Linked DNA regions of Ovis aries. The protein of the gene in region 2 purifies or fractionates together with the protein of the main gene of each other region. This does not show direct contact. Links are inferred from orthologs where the notes say so. Each region holds a gene or a part of one and is shown on either strand. Other genes may lie near its edges.

The links.
Region 1: the proteins of TOM1 (region 2) and ZFYVE16 purify together in Homo sapiens (affinity purification with western blotting; 3 studies listed by BioGRID and IntAct, with this or other methods). This does not show direct contact. The link is inferred for Ovis aries from reciprocal best matches to the Homo sapiens genes TOM1 and ZFYVE16.
Region 3: the proteins of TOM1 (region 2) and CLTC purify together in Homo sapiens (affinity purification with western blotting, with the first as the bait; 3 studies listed by BioGRID). This does not show direct contact. The link is inferred for Ovis aries from reciprocal best matches to the Homo sapiens genes TOM1 and CLTC.
Region 4: the proteins of TOM1 (region 2) and CUEDC1 purify together in Homo sapiens (co-immunoprecipitation; 3 studies listed by BioGRID and IntAct, with this or other methods). This does not show direct contact. The link is inferred for Ovis aries from reciprocal best matches to the Homo sapiens genes TOM1 and CUEDC1.

The regions. Positions count from the first base shown.
Region 1 is NC_056058.1:78,172,664-78,176,228, reverse strand, and holds part of ZFYVE16 (zinc finger FYVE domain-containing protein 16), read right to left. Parts: intron 1,375-3,565; coding exon 1,219-1,374; intron 1-1,218.
Region 2 is NC_056056.1:179,160,754-179,165,050, reverse strand, and holds the start of TOM1 (target of Myb1 membrane trafficking protein), read right to left. Parts: upstream 2,855-4,297; 5' UTR 2,828-2,854; coding exon 2,776-2,827; intron 1-2,775.
Region 3 is NC_056064.1:10,332,185-10,335,749, reverse strand, and holds part of CLTC (clathrin heavy chain 1), read right to left. Parts: intron 3,433-3,565; coding exon 3,290-3,432; intron 930-3,289; coding exon 695-929; intron 1-694. UniProt on the Homo sapiens protein: Clathrin is the major protein of the polyhedral coat of coated pits and vesicles. Two different adapter protein complexes link the clathrin lattice either to the plasma membrane or to the trans-Golgi network.
Region 4 is NC_056064.1:8,369,649-8,373,213, reverse strand, and holds part of CUEDC1 (CUE domain-containing protein 1), read left to right. Parts: intron 1-813; coding exon 814-940; intron 941-1,650; coding exon 1,651-1,843; intron 1,844-2,898; coding exon 2,899-2,979; intron 2,980-3,565.

The DNA.
Region 1 (3,565 bases), on a different chromosome or scaffold from region 2:
AAATTGTGAACAGAAATTTGAGAATGTTTCTAACCATAGGTGTTTTTAAATTTTTCTCCTTACTTCAAGGTCAAGTGAAAAGTCATCATGTTCCCCAAATCTTATACAGCCTTTCTATGGTTTAAGTTACCTCTGGTCAACTGTGGTCCAAAAATATTAACTGGAAAATTACATAAATCTCTTGCTATCTTGCTCTGCCCCACTGGGATGTGAACCACACCTTCGGTCATCTGCCCAGCATGTTCACACTGTATATGCTACAGGCCATTAGTCACTCAGCAGTAGTCTCTGTTATTAGATCAACTGTTAACAGTCACTGTGCTTCTGTTCAGGTAACACTTATTTTTTTAATATTGCCCCCAAGGCACAAGAGAAGTGATGCTGGCAATTCAGATGTTCTCTTACTCTGCCTAATTTATAAATTAAACTTCATCATAGATATGTATGAAAAAATAGTATGTGTGTGGTGTGTGTGTGGCTTTCCCAGTAGCTCAGCTGATAAAGAATCCGCCTGCAATGCAGGAGTCCCTGGTTCGATTCCTGGGTCGGGAAGCCCTCCTGTGAAGGGACAGGATAGGCTACCCACTCCAGTATTCTTGGACGTCTCTGGTGGCTCAGACAGTAAAAAATCCGCCTGCAATACAGAAGACCTGAGTTCGATCCCTGGGTTGGGAAGATCCACTGGAGGAAGGCATCACAACCCACTCTAGTATTCTTGCCTGGACAATCTCCATGGACAGAGGAGCCTGGTAGGCTGCAGTCCATAGGGTCGTAAAGAGTCAGACACAACTGAGCAACTAAGCACAGCACACATATATATATATTTATAGTATATATACATATATGCTATTTTTCATATAGTATATATATACTACAGAAAAATAGTACAATAGGGTTCAGTACCATTTCCAGTTTTAGGCAGCCACTGGGGTCTTGGAACTTATCCCCTGCAGATAAAGGGGGACTACTGTGTAGACGCATAAAAAGATCAAGAAAGTAAATATATTTTACCTTTTAAAATAGAAAAAAAAAACAATAAAGACACTAGTTACATAAAATGCTAGATTTAAGGAGACTGAAAATGATGACTAAGCTCTTTTAAGTAATCAGTAATCTCTTCATAAAATAAACCTTTAGTACAGTTAGCACTGCTAAAAGCAAAAATGCCCCTCATTTATCCATCCCCTGGTCTGAACAGTTAAAAATAAAATACTGTACCTTTCAGAGCATCCTTATAAATGGTGATGAACAGTCTGAAGATGTCCTTAGGAATAGTATCTTCATTTGGCAAACATAACAATAGAATAATAATTTCTGCCTGTCCCAAGCCATGCAATCCATTGGTTGAGAAGTACCAGTATTTGTCTGAGGAATCTTAAGTGACAAAACCATACAACTATAAATGTCAACTTCTTTTTTTTTTTTTAATTTTTTTTTAAAAATGTCAACTTCTAATTGTCCTTTGCATGAAGTACAACTTTTCAAACTCCTTATTTCCCCAATGTTCTCACAAAACTTAAACTGAACTGTGTAAGATGGCTTGTGTAACTCTGTAAGATTACTTCAATAGTTTTGGCCTCAGGTCAAATAACAGGGAGGGAACACAGCTCTGCTCATCAACAGAAAATTGGATTAAAGATTTACTGAGCATGGCCCCACCCTCAGAACAAGATCCAGTTTCCCCCTCAGTCTCTCCCATCAGGAAGCTGGCATAAGCCTCTTATCCTTCTCCACCAGAGCCAGACAGAATGAAAACCACAATCACAGAAAATTAACCAATCTGATCACATGGACAACAGCCTTGTCTACCTTGTCTAATGAAACTATAAGCCATGCCCTCTAGGGCTGCCCAAGACGGACAGGTCATGGTGGAGATGTCTGACAAAATGTGGTCCACGGGAACTCCCCCAGTCTGTAGGTGCCCAATACGTTACTGGAGATCAGTGGAGAAATAACTCCAGAAAGAAAAGAAGAGACGGAGCCAAAGCAAAAGCAACATCCAGTTGTAGATGTGACTGGTGATAGAAGTAAAGTCCTATGCTATACAGAGCAATATTGCAAGGAACCTGGAATGCTAGGTCCATGAATCAAGGCAAACTGGAAGTGGTCAAACAGGAGACGGCAAGAGTGAACATTGACATTTTAGTAATCAGTGAACTGAAGTGGACTGAAATGGGTGAATTTAACTCAGATGACCATTACATCTACTACTCTGGGCAAGAATCCCTTAGAAGAAATGGAGTCGCCATCATAGTCAACAAAAGAATCCAAAATGCAATACTTGGATGCAATCTCAAAAACGACAGAATGATCTGTTTGTTTTCAAGGCAAACCATTCAATATCCCGGTAATCCAAGGCTATGACTGGAGCAGTAATGCTAAAGAAGCTGAAGTTGAACAGTTCTATGAAAACCTACAAGACCTCCTAGAACTAACACCCATAAAAAATGTCCTTTGCATTAGAGGGGACTGGAATGCAAAAGTAGGAAGTCAAGAAACACCTGGAGTAACAAGCAAATTTGGCCTTGGAATGCGGAATGAAGCAGGACATAGATTTAATAGAGTTTCACCAAGAGAACACACTGGTCACAGCAAACACCCTCTTCAAACAACACAAGAGACAACTCTACACATGGACATCACCAGATGGTCAAAACTGAAATCAGACTGATTATATTCTTTGCAGCCAAAGATGGAGAAGCTCTATACAGCCAGCAAAAACAAGACTGGGAGCTGACTGTGGCTCAGATCATGAACCCCTTATTGCCAAATTGAAGAAAGTAGGGAAAATCACTAAACCATTCAGGTATGACCTAAATAAAATCCCTTATGATTATACAGTGGAAGGGACAAACAGATTCAAGGGATTAGATCTGACAGACAGAGTGCCTGAAGAACTATGAACCGAGGTTTGTGACATTGTACAGGAGGCAGTGATAAAGACCATCCCCAAGAAAAAGAAATGCAAAAAGGCAAAATGGTTGTCTGAGGAGGCCTTACAAATACCTGAGAAAAGGAGAGCAGCAAAAGACAAAGGAGAAAAGGAAAGATATAAGCATCTGAATGCAGAGTTCCAAAGAACACCAAGGAGAGATAAGAAAGCCTTCCTCAGTGATCACTGCAAAGAAATACAGGAAAACAATAGAATAGGACTAGAGATCTCTTCAAGAAAATTAGAGCTACCAAGGGAACATTTCATGCAAAGATGGGTTCAATAAAGGACAGAAACAGTATGGACCCAACAGAAGCAGACGATATTAAGAGGTGGCAAGAATACACAGAAGAACTACACAAAAAAAGATCTTCATGACCCAGATAATCACAATGGTGTGATCACTCACCTAGAGCCAGATATCCTGGAATGCGAAGTCACGTGGGCCTGAGGAAGCATCACTAAGAACAAAGCTAGTGGAGGTGATGGAATTCCAGTTGAGATATTTCAAACCCTAAAAGATGATGCTGTGAAAGTGCTGTACTCAATATGCCAGCAAATTTGGAAAACTCAGCAGTGGCCACAGGACTGGAAAAGGTCAGTTTTCATTCTAATCCCAAAGAAATGCAACAT
Region 2 (4,297 bases):
CACACGCACAACTACTAACAGAATGCCACGGTGCTTTATTAGTGTGACGTCAGTGAAAATAATAAAAATGATGACGATGTATTCTGCAAACTAATAATGTGCCAGGCCCTCTCCAGAGAGCATCTCACTTCACTCTCACAACCACTCTGAGAAATGGATGCTGCCATAACCACCATTGCACCCAGGAAGCAGAGCCCAAAGGCAGACAGGGAGTGAGCCTGAGGAGCTAGGGTGATGGGAGGGCACAAAAACAACGGCTGGATTTGAAGGGGTCAGCGAAGGCCTCCTGGAGTAGGTGATGATGCCTGGAACTTTAAGGAGGCACTGGCAGCAGGCATTCCAGGCAGAGGGAGCAGCAAGCAGAAAGGGGTGTGAATGGGTGACTGGAAACTTTCTGAGTCGAGAGACACTGAGCTCTGATTTAGACCATCACGACCTACTGTGCTCAGTGCTGCCAACTGGACAGGGCTCTATGCTCAACCGGGGGATGAAGTCGGCAGGCTTGAGAAGAGATTATTTCAATCCTGCAGTTTATAGAAATGAAAGCAGCTCATACTAGGTCATTAGTAATTACAGCTGATCAGGGCTGTTGCTCCCCCACACCCCGGGGGTGAAGAAAAGGAATACTGAGGGTATTAACTCAAATAGCAGACATTATTCATTTAATAGTACTTTTAGAGCCTCTTCAGCTTTGGTTCAGATTTCACGGACTCAGAGGGGTTCTTCTCAGCTTTCTGACCACATCACTGGGGTCTTGGGTGAGTCCTATTTTCCACCTTCCCTCTCTTGGCCTCAGTCTCCAGTGTAGAATGAAGGGGATGGGCTACAATGGAGGTTTTCAATCTGGTGGCCACCTCAGGTCTACAGTCACAAACTCTGGGGGTGGGGCCCGGCCTTTGATGCTTTAACAAGTCTTCCAGGGGATTCTGATGATAGCCCTGGATTAGAAGAGCCCTAGGATAAGGACTGTTCCTGCAGTAAAACACGGTCTGTGCTCTAAGGGACTAAGAGTTTAGTAGCATGCTCTTTGGACTGAATATTTCTTGCCCAAGACAGGTAACCCTTCAGGGTAAGAAGAGAAGCTCTTTTGTTTGACTACCTCAAGCCTGGAGTCCCAAAGAGCTTTTCTAGAAAGACTCAGGCATATTTGGCTGCCTGTGAACCAGAATTTTTTTCTTTTTTGGGGGGTGGGTGTGTAGGAAGTCTCAAATTTGACATGTGATAAAAGCAGAGGTTTCTGCAGTTGGAGAAATACAGACAAGAGATGAACTGCCTTCTCTTTTCAGTCCCAAACAATGACTCATCAGTGTGTGTGTCTGTTTGTGTAGCAGGTGGGTGAGGGTCCTGAGAGAGCAGCTGCCCCTCTCAGATCCAGGAACTTCCTGGTGTGTAAATACTCTACTGACAGCATCCTCTTGAATACATTTGATTACAAAACCTCAAAAGAGCCACAAACAGCCACAGGCAGCGATTTCAACACAGAGCTGGGTTAACAGACTTAAGTGAGGTTTGACTTCTAAGGCACCAAGAATGAAAAGAATGTATTGTCTAAAAGATCCAGTTTTCCCAGTCTGGACTTAAGGCTAAAAATCATCAAAAAGATGGAGAGAGGCTTTCACAGTACTTCCCTCGATTTATTCAGGCGAGGAAGCACAACCAGACTGTTCTGGAGAAGTGTCCCGGCCATGGCCTGTGGGTCCTCTCTGAGTTGGTGGGCAGGAATGAGTGTCTGTGAGACCAACTGTCTAGCCATTCTCAGGATTTTGGAACCCGCACTTGGTGGTGTCTCAGTAACAATAAATATTACCACCTTCTTTTACAGAGCATCTGCCACGTGGAAGGCACTAAATCCTTCACACTTATGAACGAGTTTAACCTAAACAACCCCAAGGAGGCAGGGATCATTATTATCCCCTAATCACTGGGGAGGGATCCTCTCTACAGACAGCCAACGCCGCACCATTACTAAGCCTCCGCTCAACAGGTGCCAAGAGAGTCAGGAGCCTGGGCTCTTGAGTGAGCCTGTGTCTCGCCCAGAGGGCTTGGGCCTCCCATCTGCTGAGAAATGAGGGAGGCTGAAATCAGGTGGTTTCGAAGATCCTTTCCAGCTCCAAGTCTGCGACTCCACGCGGTCCATTCGGTGCCGGCTGGTGAGGCGGCTATGGCCGGCAGTTCCTGAGGATTTGGCCTGGCCTTCTCGTGGGGTGGGCTCCCTAGCGTCTAGCCCCGGCTTGGTGGAGGAAGGGCTCCCAGCCGCCTGCCCGCCAGGCCGCAAAGCCCCAGCCTCCTGGTCCTTGAGAATGGACTTCCAGCCCTTCTCAGGTATCCGTGTTCGCAACTCCAGACGAGCCAGGAAGGAAATGGCAAGAGCCCAGGTGGCGCAACCCGTGCGGGGGAGGCGATGACAGAAACCATCGAGGGACCCAAACACTGCAAAAACCACGCAGTCCCTTTAACCCCTAAAACTTTCTGCCTGGATTCGCGACCCCAGCAGCTGCACATTGGCTGAGCCGCGGCCGCCCGGGCCCGCCTCCCCTCTTTATTTATTGGCTTCCGTGGGCATCCATCACAATCCGAAGCTTCCTAGTGGACAGTGGCTTTTGTCAATCAAAGCAGGCGGGAGGCAGGGCGGGGCCGGGTCTGAGAGAGACACGCCAGCCTCACTCCCCTCCCTGCCTCCCTCTGGTGTGTGACTCGGGACCTGGAGGTACCCTGGGGGGCCGGGGTCGAATGCGGAGTGCTGCGCTGGGCCTGCGCGGGGCCCCGGAGACTCACCGATGCGCTGTCCCACCGGAGAGCTGAACGGGTTCCCCAGGAGAAAGTCCATCGCCACTGCTGCCGCTGCCTCCAAGCCGGGGATCAGCTGACAGCAACCGCCAGCGCCGCGGACCCGTCACGTGATGCGCTGGACCGTCCTCGAGGAGGCGCGGCTGGGGCGGGGCAGAGGCAGTCTGGAGCCTAGACGCAGGCCCCGCCTCGGACGTGGAGTGTCGGCTCCCTGAGGCGGAGGGCGATGACCTCACTGCGGTTAACTAGGCGTCGGCGGACGTCACGCAGTACGTAGGGCGACGAGGGGGCGTGGGTTTCGCTAAGCCACGCCCTCCACGCGTCCTGAAGGATTTAGGGGCGTGGCCTTTGAGCTCTTAACACCTGGAAAACCCAATCTTAGACCCGGGAAATGATTTGCGTGGGCTTCCCTTGTAGCTCAGTCAGTAAAGAATTTGCCTGCAGTGCAGGAGACCTGGGTTCGATCCTTGGGTTGGGAAGATCCCCTGGAGAAGGAAATGGCAACCCACTCCAGTATCCTTGTCTGGAAAATCTCATGGACAGAGGGACCTTGTGGACTGCTGTCCATGGGGGTCGAAAAGAGTCGGGCACGACTGAGCGACTAACATATAACATACATATGTAACGGTACCCAGCAAGCCGAGGCCAAAGCTCTAGCTCTCAGTCCGGTCCCCCGGGACCTCAGTATGACTACACATCCGCTGCTGGGGTTGATAGACTCTCTGGCTTGTTGTCTCCCTACCCAGAGAGGACGCTTCCTGTTTGAGGCTGAGGTCTTCTGGCTGCAAAATGCTTCATGTTTGCAGCCCAGATTCCCTTACCTCAAATAGGAGGCAAGGGCAAAGGCTTTTCGAGACCTTGACACTGAGAGACAACTCAATGAATTGCAGCTAGTGATGGGCTAGAGCTCAAGGTGGCAGAAAGCATACAAATGTTATGAGTGGGTCCTAGGACACATCTCTGCCATTCATTTACGGTGTGATTCAAACAGCAGGCTTCCATTTTCTCTGAATTCTGGAATTAGATCAAGGACTTCTAACCTTTATTTTCTTAGGTCACAGGATCCTTTGAGAAATTGTACAAAGCACTGGAGCATTTCTGAAGAAAAAAGGCAAGATAGAATTGTACCTCAGGGTGGTTCTGGGGTCCCTGAGGTACACCAGTGGACTCCAAGCTAAGAATCTCAAAGGCTTTCTTCAGCTTTGTAATTCAAATGTCTTCTTCCATGCTCCCGTGCGCCATGTTTCAGCTGTGTCACTTACTCATTAGATATCTTACCTATTGGTTATAGTTTTTTCCTTCTAATGGCATGCACTCCAAAAGATAAAATAACCACTGCTTTGGTAGTCTGAGCTACTGCAAGGTGCTTTAGTATCTATCGAACGTATTTGTGAATTTTTAATTCGAAAGGCTAGTACATTTCACAAATTTAGGATGATAGAAAACCTGAATTACAACTTTATCACTTCTGTATGTTAACTGAGCAGTCAATAGGGTAGAAGAATTGATG
Region 3 (3,565 bases), on a different chromosome or scaffold from region 2:
CCACTGAATTACTCACTTTCAAATGGCTAATGTTATGTTACCTTCAATAAAAAAAGAGAAAAAGACTATTTTTCCAATTATGTCTGTCACTAAAAGACAAAGGCTGAAGAAGTGTTTCAGGTTAAAAGAGACATGAAAGATATGACACGTACAAGCAGTATGTAATCCTAGACTAAAGGGAAAATTTTCTTTTAAAAAACATTCTCAGGTCAATTGACAAAATCAGAACGAAACAGATTTTTAACAGTATTCTACCAGTATCAGACTGACTGAGGTTGCTATCCATAATGTGGTCATGAAAGAGAATACCCTTATTCCTAGGAAATACTCACTGAAGGGTTATAAAGCCATGAGGTACGCAACTTATTCTCATAAGGTTAAAAGGTTAGATGTGCCTATACATATACACGTATATGTAAAAAATATATACATGTATGTGTACATATGAGTGTATGAGAACATACGCGATAAAACCGGGGCGTAAATGTCAATGGGTGAATATAAATGTAATCAACTACTTTGGCCAGTTTAAGTTCATAATTATCAGCAGTTTTTTTTAAAAAAAGCGTGTACCTTCTAAAAATGCTCCATATTACCTAAAACCACTCTGAAACTCTCAAAATTCACTAGTCTAACATTATGTAACAGGTTTTAAAAATGCTGTCTTCTCTATATGTCAGCTGGCAGTACTCACATTGATAAGCTCCAGATCACACTGGCCACGCTCATAAGCAACACAGGCCAGATGCGGATCTCTCTTCTCACAATACTTTCCAACAACACGACTGTCATAGTAAGGATTTTCCCGAAGAAACCGCTCTGGATTGTTATTACTGTCTATGTAGATTTTGGCTAATGCATTATGAGTAGCAGGCTCTTCACAGCCCTCATGAATTCTGGCCTCCAGCCAAGGCAGAAGCAGTTTCAATCTAGTAAAAAAATAAAACAAGAAAAGAAACACACAAAAAAACCCACATATACATATACTATATTATAAATAACACACTCTTGACATGCTATGTACCTTATGGTCTATAAAGTGCTTTCCCATACCCTATTTTGAATTCTCAACATTTCTATCAGAAACTGAGAAATTAGGACTCAGAGATGGTTAAAGGATTTGTCCAATGTTACACAGAAGGTATATAAGACTGTCCTTCATACTCTCCCAGACCTATCTGCTACATTATCTAGACAGGATATGGAGAGAAGAGACTACAGATTCACAGATTATTCTTTTTCATATGGGGCAAATGGCTGGACCTCTGAGTAATATTGCTTAGGAGTAGGACAGAGATGTGGTATGAGAAAACAAGCCACATTATCTGCGGTTCCTTTTAATTTTACCACAATTACCATGCAACATTACATACAGCAAAAAGAAGCAGTAACGTAAGTAAACACATAACTGGGAACAAAATCTGGTAAAATTCTAGCAGTCATAAAATCAATCACTCCACCAAGGGCCATGGTTTTGCTAAGTTATAGCTTATTTTCCAATGGTTCAGATGACCAACACTCTTACCATGGTTTAAATAACATGTTAAATAGTTACAAGAAATCCACGGAAAGAGGCGCCTGGTAGGCTATAGTCCATGGTGTCACAGAAGAGTTGGATACGACTTAGCAACTATACAATAATCACTTTAAATCAGTCTCAAGCTTTAAAAAAATAAAACTCAGTATTATATTCTACATCTCCATTGTCCTTAAGTGCAGAATTTTTCAAACATTTTCTGAAACATTTAGCTTGAAACATTTAGATATAAATTATGTTATAAATTTCCATTAGTAGAACACTTGTACCAACTCAGGTTAAAATTAAACCCTATTCTTGAGATGGTTTCATTGCTAGAGGAACTTCCTACTTAACCTCATTACTTCTCACTAACCTCATTTACTATGTCAGCACTTTGTGAACACACAATGTCCTGGCTAAAAAAAAGACTTCATGATCTAACTATCAGAAGCACTCATATTATGTTCTCTTCTATTGGAAATTCCTAACTCATATTATATCAAGGTTCAACTTAAAAATAAGTTTAACTCAGAGTTATACAGGGAATGTTTTTCTCTTGTCATACTTGATTATTTACCAGAGAGTAATTAGTTACTAGGTATCATACCTAAAAGGAGGCTTTTTACATAGTTTACATTAAAAACACATAGCTGTGTGGTTTGACTTAATGTAATTATAAACATGCAAAAAGAAGGTGAACACTCATTACTAGAGAAATGCAAATCAAAACCATAGCGAGACATCATCTCACATTTATAAGAATGGCCGCCATCAAAAAGTCTACAAACAACGAATGCTGGACAGGGTGTGGAGAAAAGGGAACCCTCTTACACTGCTGGTAGGAATGCCAAGTGGTACAGCCACTACAGAGAACAGTGTGGCGATTCATTAAAAAAGTGGAAACAGAACTGCCGTATGACCCAGCCATCCCACTGGTGGGCATACACATCAAGGAAACCAGAACTGAAAGAGACACGTGTACCCCAATGTTCACTGCAGCACTGTTTACCACAGCTAGGACATGGAAGCCACCTAGATGTCCATACGCAGATGAATGGATAAGGAAGCTGTGGTACATATGCACAATGGAATACTACTCAGCTCTAAAAAAGAATTCATCTGAGTCAGTTCTAAGGAGGTAGATGAAACTGGAGCCTATCATACAGAGTGAAGTAAGTCAGAAAGAGAAATACCAATACAGTAAAGACGGTAAAGATGCTATATGCAAGGTGGCAAAAGAGACACAAGATGTAAGGAACAGGCTTTTGGACTCTGTGGGAAAATGCAAGGGTGGGAAGACTTGAGAGAAAAGCACTGAAGCATGTGTATTACTGTATGTAAAACAGATGACCAGTGCAAGTTCAAGGCGTGAAGCAGGGCACTCAAAGCTGATGCTCTGGGACAACCCAGAGGGATAAGGTGGGGAGGGAGTTGGGAGGGGGGTTCAGGAAGGGGACTCACATGTGCACCCATGGGTGATTCATGTCGATGTATGGCAAAAACCACCACAGTATTGTAAAGAAATTATCCTCCAATTAAAATTAATTAATCAAAAAAAGGTGAATGACTAGATTAACAGATATTCTATATGACAGCCGTATACAGCAAGTTACAGCTAGCTTATCACTTCTAAATTAGGCATCTCTAGGGAATTAAGATCCATGAGTACTGAGTAGTTTTAGGCAACGGACAGGTTATACTTCTATTTAATACAATGCTAGGAGAGACTAATAATTTATCCTACTTGTGAATATTAAAATAGTACTACACCTGTTTCTTTTTTCAACTTCAGCAACAAGCTCATCAGTAGAGAATTGACCTCTTACAACAAGAATCAAATTTTTAATGACATCTTCAGAGCAATCAACATCAAGTAATCCCCCAATAACCACCGGCAGTCGACTTGGATTCACCTATGGTTTTAAAAAAAAAAAAGAATGGCATTATGTTACCAAGAAACAAAACTGAAAAGAGTTCTTAAAAAAAAAAAAGCAAAAAGCAAGAAAAACGCATTTTCCTCTTCAACCTGTTTTAAAAGTCAGTAAT
Region 4 (3,565 bases), on a different chromosome or scaffold from region 2:
CCGCTGTGGCCTCTGCCTGAGGCCAGGAGAGCAGCCCCTGCCAGTCCCATCCTTAGTGTGACCTTCCAGCTGCCGGTCAAGGCAGCTTCGTGAGGGGCTCCCACACACCAGAGCAGGGTGGCAGTGGTTTGCAGGTGAGGGGAAAGCCCCACAGGGGATAGGTCTCCCCTGGGACCACCCACCAGGTCTGGAGCCTGGGTCTGCTTGCCCTCTAGAGACCCTGGTGTCTCCGTGTCTCCTGATTCCAGCAAACCAACACTGGGGAAGGCTGGGCTGTCAGCCACTCTAGGTGTCTCTTCCCTGGGAACACACCTATCACTCAGCACCCAGGAGCTTGTGTTATCCTGGATGCTAGAGACAGAAGGCTGAAGGGCTGTGACCCCTGCATCTGTGTCCACATCCACAGCACCCAACATGAGCTCTGCCAACGCAGGCCAGAGACCTTTTGTTTGTTTGGCCAAGACACGCATGGCGTCTCACCTCCCTGACTTGGGATTGAATCTGCACCCCGTGCGTTGGAAGGTGAAGTCATGGCGCCTGGACTGCCAGGGAAGCCCCTAGGCCCAGAGACTTTGCAGACACCGGGTGGCTGGAAGCAGTGAGTGTCTGGCGCAGTAGGCGTCCAGGCCCAGAGGTGAGGGCTCAGCCAAGGCCTGGCTGAAAGGGGAGCTAGGGGGCTGGGCCTCCGTGCTGGAGGCGGCTGGAAGCTTGGGCACGTGGGTGCCATTCTGAGCAGGATCCCAGGGTGGTGGGCCAGGACACCTGTGTGTGGGCCTGACTGTTCCCTCCTCATCCTCACCTGTCGCCCTCCAGCATCGACGTGCTGGGCTCCGTGCCCCCTTCCAGCCAGAGGCGCTACCGCAACTGGAACCCCCCACTGTTGGGCAACCTCCCCGAAGACTTTCTCCGCATCCTGCCCCAGCAGCTGGACAGCATACAGGTAATGGGGGTGCCCCCGCCCCCAGCCTGTGCAGCGTCTCTCTGTTCGCGCCAGTCACTGACCCTCCCTGACGTTTAAGCCCAGGCTAAGCTGCCCTGGGGTGGTACGGAAAGAAGGCTGAGCCAAAAGCCTCCTTCCCCATCGGGGCCTGTAAGGTTTCCCCTTCCGCTTAGGAAGGGGACCGCCCTGAGGATACTCTCTGGCAAATGGCATCACCCTAGGGTGGCAGGAGTTGGGCAGGGGCAGGGTGGGGGGTCACTCAGTGACAGAAAGGCAGAGCACCTTCCTTCCTTCCTTCCTTCCCCGGGGAGAGGGCCAGGGTGCTTCTCGCCAGAGGCTGGCCCTTGCAAGCAGTCTCCTCTGAGATGGCCAGGACAAGGAAAGTATGAGTATGGGGACTCTGAGCCATTTGAAGATCACTCTTCAGGACTATTCAGGTTTTGACGAAGGGCATGCTGGTGGGAAGGTCCAAGGTGTCAAGCTGGGGAGGTGGAGAGTAGTTCCTAAGCCCCTGATGCTTCCTCAGCACAGAGGGCTCTGGTCTGTTACGTTGAGTCTTGGCTAACAGCTCGCTCTGGGTGGAGGAGGTCCTGGCCTCAGGGCGTGGCTGCAGCATCCCGGGAAGGACGCTTGTACCCCCGGTGCGCATGGGTGTTGGTGCGGCGTGCGCCCTTGTGAGTAGGGGGTCCGTGTGCTTGCTCCCTGCTCAGGCCACCTCCAGGGGCTCCAAGCTCGCAAGCACGGAGGGAAGCCTGCCGCCCGTGGCGGGGCCTGAGCCCCGGGACCAGGAGAGCCGCTGGAAGCAGTACCTGGAGGACGAGAGGATCGCGCTCTTCCTGCAGAACGAGGAGTTCATGAAGGAGCTGCAGCGCAACCGGGACTTCCTGCTCGCCCTGGAGAGAGGTGGTGCCCTGGGCCAGGGCAGCCGGGCCGGGGCGAGGGGTGTCGGCCGTAGCCTGGGGCTCCGAGCCGGAGGTCTGAGTTGTCCAGGAGAAAGTATGAAAGCGTGAGTCGCTCAGTCATGTCGCTCTTTGCGACCGCATGGACTGTAGCCCACCAGGCTCCTCTGTCCATGGGATTCTCCAGGCAAGAGTACTGGAGTTGCCCTGCCCTCCTCCAGGAGATCTTCCCTACCCAGGGATGGAACCCACGTCTCTCATGTCTCCTGCACTGGCAGGCAGGTTCTTTACGCCTAGCGCTGCCTGGGAAGCAGAGTTCTGCTCACAGGGACCTGAGTCATCGGGACTTAGCGGGAGTGCGGGGCGCCCTCTGGGCTCTGCCCCTCCTTGCGCCCCCGCACTTCTGCTCTGTGCCAGGCGCTGGCGGCTGCCCTGTGCGACGGGAGCTCCAGCAGTAGAGGGACTGTGTGGCTGGGTGCCAGGGTGCGTTCCTCCCTGAGCCGAGGACGTTAGAGCAGGGCCTCTGGAGGGTTTGGGGGTGTTGGGGTTGTTTCTGGGCCAAGGATCCTACTCCTCCTAGCCTGGCTGCCTTCCCCCTTTAGAGTGGTAAGGTTTGGGGTGGCGCACAGTGAGGGGCCTGTGGGAGAGAGGTGTTGTGTGTACACGTGTGTGTGACTGGCAGTGTGTTTTGGTCAGGAACATGGTGTGCAGGGGAAAGTCTGGCCTGAGACAGAGGAGCCGAAGGCTGGTCCCAGCTCTGCAGTAAAGATGCTGGTGGGAGTCTCCAGGCCTTTCCTTTTAGATGAAGGGCTGGACACTCCAGTTTCTCAGGGGCCTGTTAATTTTGACATTCTCACCTTCCAGGCAGTGCTTTCTGTGTCTTTGAGAGTTCTGGTTCTTTGAGAGCCCATAGGTGTCGCGTGTGCACGTGTGTGTGTGTGTGTGTGTGTGTGTGTGTGTGTGTGTGTGTTTCTCAGGGTTTGGCCTCCAACCACCTCTCAGCTCAGGCGGCCCTGGGTGTGAGCTAGCTTCCCTGACCAGACTGTGGGCCTTTTCCAGATCGACTGAAATACGAGTCCCAGAAATCATCCAGCAGCGTGGCCGTGGGAAATGACTTTGACTTCCCCTCTCCTGTCCCAGGTAACCTTGCCTGAGAGAGAGAGAGAGAGAGAGAGAGAGAGAGAGAGGGGCCTGGAGGGTGTGGGGGGCTCACAGCCCAGGGGTGTCTGCATATTTGGAGTTTGGAGAGAGGGTGGGGAACAGGCTGCAGAGGATGGTTTTGCCCTATCAGCATATGCCCGAGAGGGGTGAGACGGGCCCTCCCCTCGGCAGCCCTGGTTCCTGCCAACCCAGCGGCTGATGAAGCCCTCACCTGGGGCAGGCCTGCAGACTCGCTCCACTCCTTAGAGGCACTTGGAGCCTGGGCAAGAAGGGGACACAGCACACCACATAATGTCCCATAGGGTGCCGGGGCTGGCAAGGGACTCAGAGACCCAGGCACTGCCCCAGGGGAGCTTATGGTCTTGTGGGGAGTGCAGGAGATGCCTCCAAGAAACAGGGAGCCCGAACCAGCAAAGCTGAGGACGCTTGTTAATTATAGCAAGCACATGCTGGGGGACAGGGAGGGTCCATCTGGGGAAGGTTCATTCATTCATTCGGTAGCTGGGGACTGTCTCCCCCAGGCCAGGCCCAGCCTTAGTATTGGAAGAAGAGAATTTTGAAAGTT